Astyanax mexicanus: one gene and its partner. Each later gene encodes a partner of the first gene's protein in a complex. Links are inferred from orthologs where the notes say so. Each region holds a gene or a part of one and is shown on either strand. Other genes may lie near its edges. The genes, in order: phf2 and vrk1.

Region 1 (9,643 bases):
GCTCCCTCCTCACTGATGATATACAGTATAATAATAATATATTAATTAATATACACTATATTGGCAAATATATTCACTCGCTCACCTGCATTGCAAGGTTTGGATGAATTTGAGCCGATCGGTCATGTAAACCTCTCTTTATTCCATTACTGTTGTTCTAATCTGAAGCTACACGAAGTTTGGAGGTCTGTAATGTTGTAAACCAGGAAGGGTCCATCCCCAAACTGTTCCCACAAAGATAAAGGCATGAAAATGTCCAAAATCTCTTGGTTTGCTGAAGCATTAAATGCTTCTTCACTGAAACTAAAAAGGCTCGAGCTCAACTCCTAAAAACAACAAAAAAAACACCACCACCACCACACCATAATACTAATGATCCCCCCTCATCCAAACTTTTACACCTAGCACAATGCACCACTGCTGTCATTTCGATTTAAGATGATCGGTCATGTAAACCTCTCTCCATTCCATGAGTCTCTCTACACTGTTCTGTACTGTTCTTTACTCCACACCATACTAATGATCCCCCCTCATCCAAACTTTACACTCAGCACAATACAGCCAGACAAGTACTGTTCTCTTTACAAAACTGCTGTCATTCCCAGGCTCTTCCACTGTGTTATAATATCACTGACAGTTGGCTGTGGAATATTTAGTAGTGAGTAGTAGTGGGTAAATTTCACAACTGGACTTTTTGTTGCATGACTGGGTGCTGCATCCTACCCATCACGGTACCACAGTGCTGGAGTTCACTGAGCTCCTGAGAGCCTGAGACCCATCCTTTTACTAATAGACTGTTTGTAGAAGCAGTCCCAGCATGCCTTGCTGCTGCTTTTTATGTTTTATTAAACACCTGTGGACACGTAAGTGATTGGATTGAACACCTGAGTGAATATATGTTTGGCAATATAGTGCATATATATATAAAAATAGACATTTTTGATTTTACAGAACAGAATCTTCGTTCAGTAACTTCAGTAACTTTATAGGTTGAGATCTGTCTGTTAAGACTGTTCTATCAGTACTTGGCACCACATATATATATATCTATATATATATGAATAAATATATATATTTGCGCCATTATAATTGAATTTGTGTTGTGTCACAGTAAATATACAGCTTTTATTTTGAAATTTAGTTTGTTTAAGGTGAGCAAAACTCATGACAAAAAAAAACAAGAAGGAGCAAAATGATAAATTCACTGTGGGTGGTTTAGTCGTGCTTTAAAAAAAATAAAATGACGTAAATATACGTAAATATACTTGCAGCCTTAGGTTCTCTCCGTTTGATCGGTGTCATACTTTAGCAGTGTAAGAAACATCGGGACATCAAGAGACATCAAGCAAGAAGCGAAAATCGATTCATTTCTATCTGATCAATAGAAAATTAATGAACGTTTTCGTCAGAAACCGCCACGTGACTTATCGATTTATCCGTATCCGTGTGGTTTCTTGAATCAGTCGTAGAACATTATTATTAAAGAACATGAATAAAACGACGGTTTCAGCAACTTTCAGCAACTCTGCATGATTCTCTTCACGATGAAAATCGAGCAAAAATCAAAAATCAAAAAAAGGTGTGTAATTATTATTATTATGATTATTATTATTATTATTATTACGATGCATGTTGTCCTTTTTCTTTCCATCTCTACAAGTAAGTACTGTGCCCATTTGCAAAATCTTTGAAACATGGCTAATAATCAGTAATAATAGTCCTTATTAAAGGTGTTCTAACTGTTAGTCAGTAACTGATTTGCTCTAACCTTTTGAAATTCTTGTGATTTATCGACCTCTGTTGCATTTTACTCAGAAAAACTCTGGATTAATAATAAGAGAAAATAAAGAGAATATATCAGATGTTATCTAGCCACTTTAAATATTGTTAACCCTGGTGTACTACTCTTCCATCTCCATCCCTGTATCTGTTCTTGCCCTTTGTTGCTGCTGTTTTTGTGCATCTTCATAATTATCGCATATAAAAAAGAAGAAAAGAAAACGCTTTGATCTGTTTGAATGCCACGCCCCCTTTTTCTCTCTCTCTCTTTTTTAATTTTTTTTTTATTTATATAAAGCCTTCCCAAAGTCCCAAAACTCTTTACGCATTTCTTTCTTTTCAATTTTAAATGCTAAGAGACAAAAAATCATATTTTACATCATATTTTACATTATAATTGATCAAATCTGATTCTACATCATCCAAATTTATATAATTTAATTCAAAAATGCTTAAACAAACAAACAATCAAAAACAAACGCGATTTTCCTGCTTTTGTTTTGGCTGCTGCGCCTGCGCAGGTCTCCACAGCAAGCAGCAAGCTGATTGGCTCTTTTTGCTTAAAATGCAAAAAGACTTCATCCATAAATGTTGATATTAATATTAGTAATAAGAGTTCAGAGAAATCCCATTTTTACACAGAAGTAATTTTCCTCAGTCTCCTCGTTAATAAGGTCTCTATGCCCGTACGTTCTAGAGTTTAGCGTTAATAAGCACAGGTTAAGAACTTCGTAATCGTTTTTTTCGGTGTTTTGCGTTTTCGTGTTTTTTTCCCGGAGCTGCTTCTACTTCTGATTGAGAATCATTACTTACAAAAGTTTTCCATCTAATCCTCCTGATTAAGCTTTTCGTCGCACATTAGTGATCAGAAATATGGTGTACTATCCCCCCGCCCGCCAGACTAAATAGGTTACCTTAATGTAAGTTGATGGGAGTTGTTTCCTAACTCACAGGGTGAAGCGGATCGATCTACTGTGGGGTTTTGAGTGACTGTGGATGGATTGTGGTGTGATGTATTAGAAGGAAATTGAATGCAACTTACAATGCTTAATAAAAGTCTTTATTCTTTTAGTATAATTCCACTGTGTCTGTCTCTTTTTTATATTTATTGGGATTAGTTCTAAACCGTTAAGAGTTTGGCGATACGGCCCTAAAATAATATTGCAATATTTCAGGGTTCGCAATTTTGCTTGCGATAATGATGTTCCTGATGATACGAACAAAAAAAAAAACACTGGAAAAAATGAAGAGAGCACATCAGTTTCTCTGATTTTGCTATTTATAGGTTTATGTTTGAGTAAAATGAATATTGTTGTTTTATTCTATAAACTACAGACAACATTTCTCCCAAATTACAAATAAAAATATTCTCATTTAGAGCATTTATTTACAGAAAATGAGAAATGGTTGAAATAACAAAAAAGATGGAGAGCTTTCAGACCTCAAATAATGCAAAGACAACAATAAAAAAATAACCCTGGTTTTCATGCATCTTGGCATCATGTTCTCCTCCACCAGTCTTACACACTGCTTTTGGATAACTTTATGCTGCTTTACTCCTGGAGTAAAAATTCAAGCAGTTCAGTTTGGTGGTTTGATGGTTTGTGATCATCCATCTTCCTCTTGATTATATTCCAGAGGTTTTCAATTTGGTAAAATCAAAGAAACTCATCATTTTTAAGTGGTCTGTGAGCTGTATGCTGTAAATGTAGAGCTAAACTACCACTATACAAGAATCCAGCATCACATTTCTTTCCAGAGCTGTATATGTTTAGGTTACAAAGTGTAAAAACACAAAAAAACACACCAAAAAAACTCCCTAAAATTCCTAAAAATCAAGAAGTGTAATTTGTTTAAAGTTGGTGTGCGCCACCTACTTGTGAACATACTACACCCCTCATACAGCAGAACTGGTTACTTTATTTACTGTAAATATTTTGTGTCATTCATTCTTTGTGTCAGTTACATGTAGGCAGTAAAACTGTGCTGAAAGATAAGGTAATACGTTTATATTGTATTACACTTTTATATATACTACTACCTCTGGTCCTGGTGATTCCTCCTATTTAAAGTGTATAAGGACACAATATGGAAAAGAACGTTGAATAAAGGTATTTTGGCATCACTAATGCACTAAAACAACGTTGATCACCAGCATGTATGGTTAGTATTAGACTTTACTTACATTAAATTATCAGCATCAACCATTCAAAACCTTTAGCTAATAGCCTACATGAACGTTCATTCAATGTCAAACTTTTAATATGTCAACATTAACCGATGATCCCTATTATAGGTATTGTTAAATATTGTTAAAGTTTTTTTTCCATAATTATAGGTGTTTGTTTATTTCACCCTGCTGGCAAAGAATTACATTATCATTATCATATCAGCCTCGACTATTTAAAACATTTAGATAACAGCCTACATGAGTGTGATTTAGTGATAGAAGTGTAATAGGATGGAGACTACAGACTAGTAAGTAGCTCTCCAGCCCAGAGGGTTGTTGAACCCAAATGCAGAACAGTTGAATTCAAAGCAGGTAAACCCAAGAAGAAAGGAAAATAGTAAATAAATAAACACACCGCTCCTCACGCGGGATTGAACACGCCCTCATAAGTAGATGGGGAGTCCGAGAATGTGCAGAAAACCAAGAATGGACGGAAACTAAAGCCACGCCGAGCGCGACAAAAAGAGACAGAGGAGGAATTTAAACAAAAGCTCTCCAGAAAAGCATTTTATTTATTTATTTTTTTCCATTATCGTTCATAGTTCAAATAACCTCACGGGCCAGATGTTTCATGCTTGAGGGCCACATCATCTAGTGCTGGTCTTCACCTAGGTGGCACAGGGGCTTAGTGGTTAGCACGTATGCCCCCCAGCACTGGGGTCTTGGGTTCAAGTCCCTATCTGGGTGGACACTAGTTTCCTCCCACAGTCCAAAAAACATGGAAATCAGGTAAATTGGATACGGATACTCTAAATTGCCCAGAACAATTAAATACTCTAAATACATTTTGAAAATTGGGTACTCTAAATTGGTCTGGTGTGCATATGTAAAAAGTGTGTGGTATATATGTAAGTTGTGTGTGTGTAAAATGTATGTATGTAGTGCCTGATGCAGTCCTCCTCCAGGTGGACGGTCGTTTCCGGTTGAGAGTACGCTGTGCATTATTGGCTGCCTGGTGTTCTCACTGGTGTGTGGTTGAGTGCTGAGTTTAAATGGTTGTGTGTAAAATGTCTAAGTAAATTGTAAAGCGCCCTTAAGGTTTCTAGAAAGGCGCTATCTAAAGGTGTGAACTTAATTAATTAGAGCATCACTCCTGATAGGGGGAGTCTTAGTAATGAGTGGGTTGGGTTATAATTAATTGCCTAAGGTAAATTGGGGAGAAAATAGAATAAAAAAAAATAATAATAAAATTAATGTATATATTAATATATATATATAAAAAAAAACATAAACGTTTATTGAACATTCCTTCTTCCCACTCACTCATTCTCTCACTCATATTCTCTCTCTCTCTCTTTCTCTTTCTATCCCGCCCTTCACCCTCCACCACTCCGATCTGATGAACACACGCTCGATCTGAGGATCTCCCCCAGCTGCTGCTCAGCGCTACTGCATCCAGCCTTTTACTGCCTTCCTGCCCTCCCTCCTCCTCTCTCTCTCTCTCTTTCTCTCCCTCCCTCCCTCCCTCGCTCCTCCTCTGCTGTTGTGAATGCTGATCTAACATGGCGACCGTGCCCGTGTATTGCATCTGCAGGTTACCGTACGACGTAACCCAGTTCATGATCGAGTGCGACGCCTGTAAGGACTGGTTCCACGGCAGGTAAAGAAGCAGCGCTCGCGGCTCGCCGCGCGGCCGCCTCCGGGGCTCCGCCGGCCCGCGAACGAGCGCGGAGGGCTCCGGCTGCGGGTCTGCCCTCCCATCTTGGTGTTTTTTGTGTGTATTTTTCCTGCTCGCGCTTCGTTCTCTGTGTGCGCGCGAGAGGCCGCGCTCGGTTCCCCTTCAGCACTGCTGCCCGCCGCGGGGCTCCGGTTTGCGCCGTTTTTTCGGCGCGCGTTACCGGCGCAGATTAGCGCGCGCGCGCTGCTTTAGAGAAATTACTCGTATAGTAACATAGTAACATCGTTCTCGGGCGCCTTTTTTTTGTGAACGCGCGCGTGCGTGTGTGTGTATGTGTGTGTATATATATATATATATATATATATATATATATATATATATATATATATATGTATATGCGTGTGTGTGTATGTGTTTATATATGTGTGTATGCGTGTGTGTGTGTGTGTATGGTACAGAGAGAGAGAAAGAGAGAAAGACCCTGAGAGCGACCCTGACCATAAAGGCAAAGAACGTTAAAACATTAAACGTTAGCTTAAATAATAATAAAAAAGCTTTTTGTTGTTTTTCTTAGTTGCATGAGGTAAGGCTTGATGGTGGGGTGAAATAGCAATAGGAGGCGGCAGCCTTTAAACAACGTTTAACAACCTTTAACATTGCCCAGGCATGGAATTCTGACATTGAATCAACGTTCATGTAGGCTGTTGGCTAAATGCTTTGAATGGTTGGGCTACAATGCATCATTTAGGTGAAAGGTGCTGAAGGCGTTGAATCAGTGTCAAACCGATTTGCGGTTTCAATGATCAACTTTGTTTCAGTGCATTAGCGATGGAAGGGGGAGAGACCCTGATGATAGAGCAAAGAATAAATGTTAAATAAACGTTCATTAATTGTTGTTTTGGTTTTGCATTAGCCTATGTCTGTTTTCTTGAGGTTCGGTTTGAAAGGAGGCGGCAACCTTTAAACAACGTTTAACAACCTTTAACATTGCCCAGGCATGGAATTCTGACATTGAATCAACGTTCATGTAGGCTGTTGGCTAAATGCTTTGAATGGTTGGGCTACGAAGCATCATTTAGGTGAAAGGTGCTGAAGTCGTTGAATCAGTGTTAAACCGATTTGCGGTTTCAGTGATCAACTTTGTTTCAGTGCATTAGCGATGGAAGGGGGAGTGACCCTGATGATAGAGCAAAAAGTAAACGTTAAATAAATGTTAATTAATTGATGTTTTGGTTTTGCATTAGCATATGTCTGTTATCCTGATAGGCTTGATGATTGAGGAAAAAGAAGGCGGCAAACTTTAAACAGTGTTTAACAACCTTTAACATTCCCTAAGCATGGGATTCTGACATTGAATCAATGTAGGCTATTAGCTAAATGCATCTTTTAGGTGAAAGGTGCTAAAGCCTCACAGATAATAATATTACTATTATTACATTAGCATTACACGTACATGCTATTTAATGTAATTACCATTTTAATACGAACCATACACTCTGAATCAGTGTAAAATCGATTTGCAGTTTCAGTGCAAGGGGAGTGACCCTGATGGTACTTTAAAGAACGTTAAATTAACGTCAATTTATTTTTGTTTTGGTTTTGCATTAGCCTATGTCTGTTATTTGGGGTTAAGCTTGATAATGGTAAAAAAGCAGGTTCCCTTTCACAATATTTAACATTGACTGTAATGTCATCTGACATTAAATCAACGTTCATGTAAGCTATTAACTAAAGGTTTTGAATGGTTGGGCCATAATGCTTATTTAGGTGAAAGGTACTTAACTGCTGTTTTGGTTTTGCATTAGCCTATGTTTAGGTTGATGATGAAATAAAGGAGGCAACCTTTAAACAACATTTAAAAACGTTTAACATTGCCTAGGCATGAAATTCTGACATTGAATCAATGTAGGCTATTAGCTAAAGGCTTTGAATGGTTGGGCTGCAATGCTTCTTTAAGGTAAAAGGTGCTAACGTCTCACAGATAATAATATTACTATTTTTACATTAGCATTACACAGTGCATGCTATTTAATGTAATTAACCATTTAATACGAACCATACACGTTGATTCATTGTAAAATCAAAGTGTTGATTTGCGGCTTTGGAGATCAACTTTGTTTCAGTGCATTAGCAATGGAAGGGAGAGTAACCCTGATGGCAGAGCATATAATGTTAAATAAACGTTAAATAATTGATAAAGGTTAATTAAACAAATAAAGCAGACAACCTTTAAATGGCCTGTGAAAACATTTATAATTGTCTGTAAAAGGCAGCACAGGTTATTGTTAGTGTTGAAATTCTGACATTGAATTAACGTTCACAAATAATAAGAATACTTGTTATTAATAATTATTATGTAGGCTAAATATCACTTTCTACACTGCAACTTGAGAGATCATGTGCACAAATATATCACTTCTGATAGTGGGAGATAAACATTGTTTCAGTGTATTAAATGTATTTGCAATGGAAAAATAAACGTCGATTAAACATGGTACTTTTTTGCTATCTGTGGAGCTAAAAAGGCTTTGCTAGCTGACTAATATCTGACTTAGGCTTATAACAGCTGGTTGTCTAGCTGTGCAACAACAGTAACAGTGCAGAAAAGGGCTAATTTGTTTAAAAACGTTCTTGAGATGTTCTGGGCTATTTTTGACCCTTCTTTTTGCTTCAGTTTGCACCAAAAAATATTTTTGATAATTATTATTTAGGCTAAATGTCCCTTTCTGCACTGCAAGACATATAATACCATAACATCTACTTAATGTTGTGAAATCGATGTGCACATATAAATCACTTCTGATGTTGGGAGATAAACATTGTTTCGGTATTCGGTATTAAATGTATTTGTGATGGAAAAATAAACGTCGATTAAACGTAGGTTACTTTTTTTTGCTTTATGTGGAGCTAAAAAGGCTGTGTTAGCTACCTAGCTAATATCTGACTGAGGTTTACAGCTGGTTATCTAGCTCTGCAACATCAATAACAGTGCAGAAATAGGGTTAATACGTTTAAAAACGTTCTTGGGATGTTCTGTGCCATTCTGGACCGTTATTTTTGCTTCAGTTTGCACCAAAAAATACTTTTTTCTGAGTTAATTTGAACCGTAAACAACATACAGCTAAAGCTAGCGTTAGCTCTGAGGCAGAATAATAATAGCCTGGCTGTGTCACACACTGCAGATTTTACCTCAGAACAGCAGTATCTGTTTAAATCACTTCATATCACCTCATTTATCGCACAAACCGATCAGATCGATCGATTAAACACTCGATTGATTAGTTTGTTTGGTCACTAGCTTGCTAACCCTGCTAATCACCCGCTCTTCCGCCCACTGACAGCAGCGGGTAGCGGCAGCAGCCGTAGCCGGGCGAGTCTTCACAGTCAGCGGGAAGCAGCTACGGCAGCTCCCGCCGCGGAGATCCGGCTCTATACCCGTCATTTTTCGCTAAATTCATCGTTTTAACGTTCGTTTCTGATTCTACAAACACTTTTAAACACGTTAACACGACGTTTAATCAGACTTTTGCCTCCGAAAGCTCGGCATTAATGGAAAGACTGAGGGAGAAAGAGAGGAAGCCCCATTGACTGAGACATTTTACGCGCCTAATGTTTTAACCCTTTCATTACTGCAGTGCTTCTTATTGATAGGAGAAAGCAAAAACATTGAATAAACGTTTATTTTAAGGTTGATACAAAGGAAAATAAAACCTTTTAACAATCTTCAAACAGTTTTTTTTATCATTTGCCTTTTAACGTTGCCGCATATGCATCAGTTATTATTAACCGGGAGTGTTAAACGTCTGACATTGAATCAACGTTTCATGTGAAAGGTGCTCCCCACATACAATAATATTAAAATTATTATTATTCAAATGCATTATGTAAACAATACAGTACAAGAATAAAAATAGAATACAAATAATATTTACATATATGTAAAATGTAAGTAAAAAAACAAAAACAAGAAATTTATTCAATGTTGAATAAATATAAAATTATCGTTCACAAATAAA
Region 2 (9,766 bases), on another chromosome or scaffold:
CCTTATATATATGGTGGTAATAATGGTGACCAGCAGTGTCTGGAAAACAAAAAGTATTATTATATTAATTCTACAGTAATTGTACTAATGGTATTATTTATACATAAAAAGCATGATGTAACTAAATAACTTAAAAAAATATTATTATACTGTTTTTTATATCACTGATTAATATTAACACTAAGCCTATATTTTGTATTACTGACATAGTTCATATTTCACTGTTAACCACTGCCATATATCATATTAATCATCTTTTATCTATTTGTTTATTGACTATTAGCATGTTTACTTCTAAAAAAACATTTTTGTTTCTACCAAAAACATTACTATCAGTCTTACCTGGACATTAATGAATTTGAATCTTATTAAATCATCTGTTTCAAAACATCTAGGTCACTGGGAGCTGCTAGCTGAGCAGCGGTAAGGCTGGGTTATCATGTTTGTGAAAATCCGAATCAGAATTAAGACGCAGAGACGTTTCCATCAAACCACGTGACGCTGCACTGCAATTTACATGAAACCATAACAATCCCATTTAAAGAGAGCTTGTTCATATTGCACATACTGAGTATAAATAGATCTGTGATAAGGTATAAACGTCACAACTGAAAAACACACATCTCTAATCTCTCATCTCTAATCAGAGGACAGAAAATAAAGAGTTATAAGATTTTTGTTATGTTTTGTATATTATATTATATTTGAGTGCCACAAAAAAAAAAAAAAAAAAAAAAAAAAAAAAATATATATATATATATATATATATATATTTGGAAATGTATGCTTTGCTGATATGTTTTCAGAGTGTTTAGTAATCAGTTGATAAATAAATCAATGCATGTTTTATCCCCAACCAAAAAATATATATTTTACTAATAATTTGTTATATTCAAATTCATAGTTCTGTAGTGGGGATGGCAAAAAAACACTTTCAGTAATGGGGCAAGTAAGTGTAAAGTGTAAATAATAATAATAATAATAATAATAATAATAATAATAATAATAATAATAATAATAAACATGTAAATACTGTATATTGGATACATTTGCATAATATATGTATGATACTGTGGATAATAAAACAGTGGTTGGTGTAGATTAGCAAATTATTATTACCTAGAACATAATATGATATATATATATATATATTTTATTTTGCAATATAGAAAAATGTAATTTAATATAAATACAATTGTACCATTTCTTTTTTACAGTATTTTGCATTAATATATCATGATATTTCATAGTATTTTTGCAGTAACTGTATTCTTGGTAATGTGACAAAATACTGATATTTTTTAGAATTCATTTAAAGAATGATAAACTACTACAATAAACTACTGCAACACAATTAATATTAAAGTACTATAATAATAATAATAATAATAATAATAATAATAATAATAATAATAATAATAATAATAATAATAATAATAATACACAAATGTTGTATATTGGACACATGTGTTGCATAATATACGTACGATACACAGATTTTGGTTTTTACGGCTTCTGTGTTGTTTAAATCGCAACGTTGCTTGTAAATATATCTACACTGATGGGTGGTGGTCTGGAAATAAGGTGTGTTCAGGAAAATGTCTGATGTATTCACAGATGCTTCACTGTCTAAATACAACCTAGACAGACCTTAACAGTCAGACGTTCATTGCTATCTTGTCAGTGAATTGTCAACACACAGGCACATCCCTAACACTCGTACACCCCCAGCTTTTACACACAGGGACAAAGTGCGTTGCAATCCTCGATGCTGTCTTACACCCAGTCAAAAGTCTATTTTCACGCTGTTAAAATAGTGTCAATAAATTTACATTGATGTCTGCCATGTTTCTATCTTGGCGGCGGGAAATACAGGTGTGTCACGGACTGATTAAAACCCTGACAACAGTCAACAGTCAGCCGCCCAATCCTATCTTATCCATGCTGGAGTGTCATGCACCCTCAGAACACCTACAATGCAATGCAGAGCACAAATCCAGCTTTTACATAAATAATGAACAGAATAAAGAATAAAATAACATTGCTGAATTTTATTTTTTTATAGATTTTTTTAGACTCATTTTGTGCACCCTCATGATACTCTAAATACAGCTGCGTGAGCCGCAATTGACTGATGCGCTATAGATGGCTAAAATAGGGCCCTAAGTGTACTTTACCCATCGTTACGATAGCAAAGACACACCAAAACATGTTGACAGCTCACCTACAGATTAAAGATAGCTTAAACAGGGCCTGTTTAAGCAGAAACCTAAAAAGAACTTTAAAATCATCAGTGGTTTAATGGTTTATTAGTGTTTAAATACTTTTCATGGCCGCTGTAGATGTATATAAGCTGCTGCAGATCACACACAGGAACGAGTGAACGAGGACGAAGGAGGAGAGACTGTATGGAGAGAACAGCAGCAGCTCACCATCCCGCAGTGTGTCCCTGCTCTCAGCAAAGCCTGACACCATCTCCTCGTCAGGAGGGAAGGACACGCGCTTTTCCCCTCTGCACTTCTTTCCAAACGGGCGTGTCGCCTCTTCCTCTGTGTGACCTGTCATTGTCGTCGGCAGCGCGGCCCAGATACCAGGAGCTTCACTCGATGTAGGCCATCCGAGCGCTGGTAGTCTGAATAGGCACTAACGGCGGTTGACATCCAGTAATATTTGATGAAGTAAACACGAGTCTATCCTCATGGCTATACCCGCGCCGGAACGGCTATGGAAACATCATCCAATTCTTATTCCATCTGACAACAAAACCAGTCAATGAACTCCGGGATCCACTTGTGCGAACTGCTCTGTCGCAGTTCCAAAACAGTCGGATGGCAGCTGGAAACTTAAGACCAGTGCTTAACACTTTTACAAAGCAGTTACAGGATACCACAGCATCCATTATTAATGATGCCCGTGCCTCTCAGTGCTGGTGGAACTCCATTTCAACATCAAATATGCACACAGCGATATGCTGTGTAAGAACACAAATGAAACACTCGGATGAAAATGCATTTTTGAGCACAGAGTTTCTGAGAAAAACCAAATATAACCCACCCGCACCACAAAGGACCGCGTCGCAGGGTCGCCTACACACAAACGGTAATTGCTAAGGTACACACAGTCTGAGCAAACACTATTAATAGGCCATGTTTTGAATAAAAACTAAAACAATACAGCATTTATATTCATATTCATACAATGTAGTAGGGCTGGGCGATATTGTAAAAAAAATATATATTCTAAATATTTTTTAAATATATGAGCGATTTTTTGTTATTTTTACATAACAACATATATTGTTTTATTTCTAAACAAAAAGCAACAAGCTATTTATATTTGTATATGTTTCCTTTATATTTAATGTAAATTGTAATGTCTATTGTAAACGAATAGTTAAAATAGTATGCAAACAAAACGTCCTTGCATTTCCTTATAAAACAGTTCTTCACAGGTTTCTGACAGAAGAAAATATCTACTGTGTCTACTGAGATTCCCTCTGGCAGCTCCTGTATGTTCTAAGATCTACAATCGCGATTATGCCTTTTTGAAAATTGCATTAAAACAGTAACTTGATTATTAAATTTATCGGATTAACCTCACAGTCCTACACTGTAGTGGTTGGATAGTTCAATTCCTCAACTGGGCAACAAATACCACACTACAACAAAAAGAGTAAATTATTATTGACTAGAACTAAAACAATATTTTTAACTTATTATTTTTTATTTTTTGCAACATAGCAAAATGTAATTTTACACATTCCTTTTTCCAGTATTTTGCATAAATACATTATTATATGTCATGGTATTTTTGCAATATCAGTATTCTTGGTAATATGACAAAACTGACATTATTAAAATTAATTTCAAGAATATAAAACTACAATAAACTACTGCAACAAGATTAATAGTAAAGTACTATTTAGTATTAAATATAACATATTTTATACATTTAGTAGAAACAAATAATTCATAATTGTGTTTGTCTATTTCGTAAACAATTCTTATATAACAAAACTCTAAATAACCAAAACTCTGAGTTTATATAAAATAATAAGTGTAACAAAATGAAAAATATAAAAACATAAAGTAAATATAACAATGGAAATCTACCACAAAACTAAAGTACAGCATATTGAGTGCATACATATAAACTGCAAACAAACAACTAAACTTTTAAGAATATCAAAAATATACTTTTTTTATTATGTTAAATTTTGATTGATATTATTGTGTTTGATACAATATAGAACACCCCTATTATTAACAATACATTCATGTATTGATCTTAAAACTAAATATTTAAAAAAGTAGTGTGTAATAGTAGTGTGGCAAATATTAGTGCCTAAAGACAAGGTTTAAAAAAGGGAAATTCTGCAGTGCTTTAAGCACAAGTTTCATGTTTTGAAGCTTCGGCTGAAATGGAAAATTGTCCTGCCCTCATTAAACAAATGTGTGTGGGTTTTAAAGCCTAGTTTCAGAAAAGTTTACAGGTGTTTACAGGTGCTATAAGTTAATTAATCTAATATCTGTAATATCCAGATAATTTTATGAGGCCGTTTGCGGCAGAAATAGCATTTCAGTTTGTTGTAGTCTGGTCTTATTTATTTAGCAGTGTCGTTAAACTTGTTTTACTACAGTTTCTACAGTTTTATCCCTTTAAAATGTCCAAACATTATGAAACAATGTCAGTTTTTAGTACTTTTCCTCACAGTTCACAGCAACTATACCTCAAATATGGCGGCTTGGTGACGTCACACGCATTAAACCCCACTTGTGAATGAACTCCTTCAGTAAACGGCCTTAATTAAACATTTTCACAATTAATGAAGGTAAAGGTGAGCATAATTCACTCTCCCGCAACTGAAATCGCAGACAAGCCACAGCTAGTTTATGGCGAGAGTACCCACTTCCGATCATAGAAAATTACTGCTCACCGCTAGAGGGAGCCCCCGAGTGAGACCAATATGAATGGGAGTGAATGGAGCTAAACAGCTAAAAACACAAATAAAAAACAGTAACTAACCACTTTATAAGAATATTTATTTAGTTTTGAAAAGTAGAATGATGCATTTTGCTAAAAAAACAAAGAAAACATACCTTTATTATTTTCTGCAGTAAAATATTATAAAATAAATATTTTTAGGCAATAAAGGTGCTAGCATTACTGCTACTGTGTGCTGATTGGTTGATGAGCTGATGCTAGGTTACAGCCAGAGCACGTTTAAAAGGTTTATAAGTGGAGTTTAAACGCTTTTAAAATTGTCTGCATTTTCTGAAACATTTGACATTTTTTTAATGAACCAGGAACATAAACTGGTAGTTTTTTGTAAATGTGAATTTACTTACATTTTGTTTTAAATGTTAAACTATGGATGTGCACTACTTAATGTTAAATGTGAATTGGCACAAAATGAACTTGCACTAATGAAATTGCTTATAAACCTGCTGACCTCCATTATTTTACCCTCTATGGCAGAGTGTTGCCCTCCAAAAAAAAAAAAAAAACCTACACCATACCCTAGAGTTACTTATTTTTTAAATGTATTTATTTGTATATTTATTTTTAATATAATGTTACATTACAAGGAATATCTATGCCCATTGCAATGAGACCTACAAGTGGGTCATAAATAAAAATATGTAATTGTGCGACAATAGGTAAAAAAGTATATTTGGCTGTTTATTTACTTATTATATTATTTTTACATTAAATTTTACATTACTTAGCAATTAGCGTACACTTTTATCCAAAACAACTTAAAAATATTTACATGTGCAATAGAGCAATAATCTTTTGTACACTCCTGCATATTTTGGGTGCTTCCTTGCTCTAAAACGTCAGATTTAAAAGATTAGTTTATTATAAAAAGACAAAATATTTGACTATATTTGATATATCCACTCCAAAAATGTTTTTTTTTCTCCCAATAAATATAGTCCATGCCATAGAGGGTTAAACATTTTTTTTAAAGATTTATACTTATAATGTGTCAAACCAACGTCAAATTATTAAAGTTAAGTCGTAACAATATCATTTCATGCAAATAAAATATGTAATTTAGTCACAACATGTAAACTTTTGCCACAAATCGACTAAACTACAAACAACTACAAATCCCAGGGCTCATTGCGTTCCCCGCCTTGACCAATCAGCTTCCTCCTTTCAGCAGAAGTTGTGCGGGAATTTTGGAGCCGGTAGAAAGCAAAACACAGAGGTTAGTAAATATTATTAAATGTAATATTAATAACCGCGCTGATTCGCGCTGCTGCCGGCGGATAGAGAGGAGAGGAGGGGCTGGATTTAACGCTGTCGGGCTGTGCTGGGTGTTTTAACCGTGTTGGGTTTAAACTGAGAGAGAGTTAGCGCCTAAGCTAAGCTAAGTTAGCATGCTGGGTCTGAACTGCGTCAAGCCTGTTAGCATTAGCTTTAGCTTTAGCTGGATGATCTCAGCTCTACATTAATAGCTATATAACTTAACTCCGTTTATAAATGATATACATTGGAGAGTGATAATAGCTTGGCTGTATTATTATTTAACACTGCTGATTAATATTGTGTTTGTGTTTATAGCAGAGCTAACCTCACTCAGACAGTTTACTGGAAGCTGCTGCTGCAAAGTGAAAATAAAAGTGAGTGAAGTTTAGTAACAATTAAATATATATCTCCCTTAACTGGAGGAAAAGGAACGAGTGTTGCCCGTTTTCTTGATTCACTGTTTATTGAAGTTTCTAATGCTGTCTGTCGCTCTTTTTCATTGTTTATCTGTCTTTCTCTTTGCATATCTTGCTAGCTAACTAACTAGCTGTCTGACTAACACGCTAAAGTCCATTCTAATTTCTATATGTCTATGGCTATGTCTCTGTCTATCTATCTGTCTATCTGGCTGTGTGTCTGTCTGTCTGTCTGTCTTTCAGTCCGGGTATGTCTAGTCATCTATCTCCATATCATATCATCTATCTCTGGCTATCTCCATCCATCCGTCTGTCTGTCTATCTGTCTGTCCATTTAGCTATCTCTGTCTGTCTATTTGTCTATCTGGCTACCTCTGGCTGTCTATATCTTTTCTTGTATCTGTCTGTCTCTCTGTCTATTTGGCTGTCCCTATATGTCTTTTTTTTTTACGTCTGACGTCTCCATCCGTGTGTCTGTCTGTCTTTTTGGCTATCTCTATCTGTCTTTTTTTTCCATCTATCTGGCTGTCTCCATCTGTGTATATATCTCTCTGTCTATCCAACTCTATCTTTCTTTATCTCTCTTTATCTGTCTATTTATCTTACTTTTTATACATCTGCCTCATTTTTATCTGTGTGCATCTGTATATATCTCTGTCTTTCTATCTACTGATATTAACACCACATATCGAAATATCAAGGAGCACAAAACATGATTCATGATTAGACTAACTGTTATTAATTAATTTATTAATCTAATTTCTAATAAAGTTTGTGTTTATTAATACTGTTAATAAATGCTTTAATGTTTGCTTGATTTAATGTGTATATGACCATTAATGTAAACAGGACATATATATATATATATATATATATATATATATATATATATATATATATATATATATATATATATACACACACACACTACCGTTCAAAAGTTTGGGGTCACATTGAAACGTCCTTATTTTTGAAGGAAAAGCACTGTACTTTTCAATGAAGATAACTTTAAACTAGTCCTAACTTTAAACAAATACACTCTGTACATTGCTAATGTGGTAAATGACTATTCTAGCTGCAAATGTCTGGTTTTGGTGCAATATCTACATAGGTGTATAGAGGCCCATTTCCAGCAACTATCACTCCAGTGTTCTAATGGTACAATGTGTTTGCTCATTGGCTCAGAAGGCTAATTGATGATTAGAAAACCCTTGTGCAATCATGTTCACACACCTGAAAACAGTCTAGCTCATTACAGAAGCTACAAAACTGACCTTCCTTTGAGCAGATTGAGTTTCTGGAGCATCACATTTGTGGGGTCAATTAAACGCTCAAAATGGCCAGAAAAAGAGAACTTTCATCTGAAACTCGACAGTCTATTCTTGTTCTTAGAAATGAAGGCTATTCCATGCGAGAAATTGCTAAGAAATTGAAGATTTCCTACAACGGTGTGTACTACTCCCTTCAGAGGACAGCACAAACAGGCTCTAACCAGAGTAGAAAAAGAAGTGGGAGGCCGCGTTGCACAACTAAGCAAGAAGATAAGTACATTAGAGTCTCTAGTTTGAGAAACAGACGCCTCACAGGTCCCCAACTGGCATCTTCATTAAATAGTACCCGCAAAACACCAGTGTCAACATCTACAGTGAAGAGGCGGCTGCGGGATTTTGGGCTTCAGGGCAGAGTGGCAAAGAAAAAGCCATATCTGAGACTGGCTAATAAAAGAAAAAGATTAAGACGGGCAAAAGAACACAGACATTGGACAGAGGAAGACTGGAAAAAAGTGTTGTGGTCGGATGAATCCAAGTTTGAGGTGTTTGGATCACAAAGAAGAACGTTTGTGAGACGCAGAACAAATGAAAAGATGCTGGAAGAATGCCTGACGCCATCTGTTAAGCATGGTGGAGGTAATGTGATGGTCTGGGGTTGCTTTGGTGCTGGTAGGGTGTGAGATTTGTACAGGGTAAAAGGGATTCTGAATAAGGAAGGCTATCACTCCATTTTGCAACGCCATGCCATACCCAGTGGACAGCGCCTGATCGGAGCCAATTTCGTCCTACAACAGGACAATGACCCTAAACACACCTCCAAATTGTGCAAGAACTATTTACAGCAGAAGCAGGCAGCTGGTATTCTATTGGTAATGGAGTGGCCAGCACAGTCACCAGATCTGAACCCCATTGAGCTGTTGTGGGAGCAGCTTGACCGTATGGTACGCCAGAAGTGCCCATCCAACCAATCCAACTTGTGGGAGCTGCTTCTAGAAGCGTCGGGTGCAATTTCTCCAGCTTACCTCAACAAATTAACAGCTAGAATGCCAAAGGTGTGCAATGCTGTAATTGCTGCAAATGGAGGATTCTTTGATGAAAGCAAAGTCTGATGTAAAAACAATGTTATTTCAAATACAAATCATTATTTCTAACCTTGTTAATGTCTTGACTCTATTTTCTATTCATTTTACAACGTATGGTGGTGAATAAGTGTGACTTTTCATGGAAAACTTTTCATGGGTTACGGTCCCAAACCACACCCTTGTGTGGTGAACCATTTTTACCTCACTGTTTGGTGTGATAGTGTGTCATTAGGAACACAGCCAACATTTTTTTTTGCGGGTAATGCAGGCTAATGTTTTTGTAATTGATAGTGTGGGTGAGACGCCCTAGTCCTAAAACATATTGTAAAATAACGATACAATTACATAATTACTTAATTTTCTGTATCATTTACCTTAAGATTTAGTTTTTAGATTCAGAGATTCAGCAGACTCTATAGACGTCCATTCACTAAAGTCTTTAGAGTGTCATTTTTAGTCTTTGTTGTAATCTAAATCTTTATTATGCTCTGAATCATCAGATGCCTCCCAAAGCCAGGGCAGCAGGAAAAGGAAAGGGTCCAGCTAAGAGAAAACTGGCCGAGGAATTCCCACCTGGAGAAATCCTGACGGACACAGCGAAGAAAAGCTGGAAACTCGGAGCGCCGATCGGCCAGGGAGGCTTTGGTCTCTTGTATCTGGGTAAGAGTTTGTGAAACATTTAGCTTTTATTAAAAGGTATATTAATATCTGGTGTGAAATGACACATAAGTGACTGTAA

Evidence for each region.
Region 2: the proteins of phf2 (region 1) and vrk1 are in contact, whole or in part, in a crystal structure (PDB 8F8Y), measured with the Homo sapiens proteins. The link is inferred for Astyanax mexicanus from reciprocal best matches to the Homo sapiens genes PHF2 and VRK1. Residues at the interface, in NP_005383.3 of Homo sapiens: Tyr7, Tyr14, Val16, Thr17, Arg18, Phe19, Met20, Ile21, Glu22, Trp29, Glu39, Ala42, Ile45, Asp46, Tyr48, Lys64, Tyr145, Ser147, Glu150, Lys175, Val178, Asp179, Tyr182, Ser183, Thr184; in NP_003375.1 of Homo sapiens: Pro2, Arg3, Val4, Lys5, Ala6, Ala7, Gln8.

The regions. Positions count from the first base shown.
Region 1 is NC_064431.1:32,873,387-32,883,029, forward strand, and holds the start of phf2 (lysine-specific demethylase phf2), read left to right. Parts: upstream 1-5,482; 5' UTR 5,483-5,511; coding exon 5,512-5,609; intron 5,610-9,643. UniProt on the Homo sapiens protein: Lysine demethylase that demethylates both histones and non-histone proteins. Enzymatically inactive by itself, and becomes active following phosphorylation by PKA: forms a complex with ARID5B and mediates demethylation of methylated ARID5B.
Region 2 is NC_064421.1:5,352,162-5,361,927, forward strand, and holds the start of vrk1 (serine/threonine-protein kinase VRK1), read left to right. Parts: upstream 1-6,131; 5' UTR 6,132-6,217; intron 6,218-6,573; 5' UTR 6,574-6,632; intron 6,633-9,527; coding exon 9,528-9,687; intron 9,688-9,766. UniProt on the Homo sapiens protein: Serine/threonine kinase involved in the regulation of key cellular processes including the cell cycle, nuclear condensation, transcription regulation, and DNA damage response.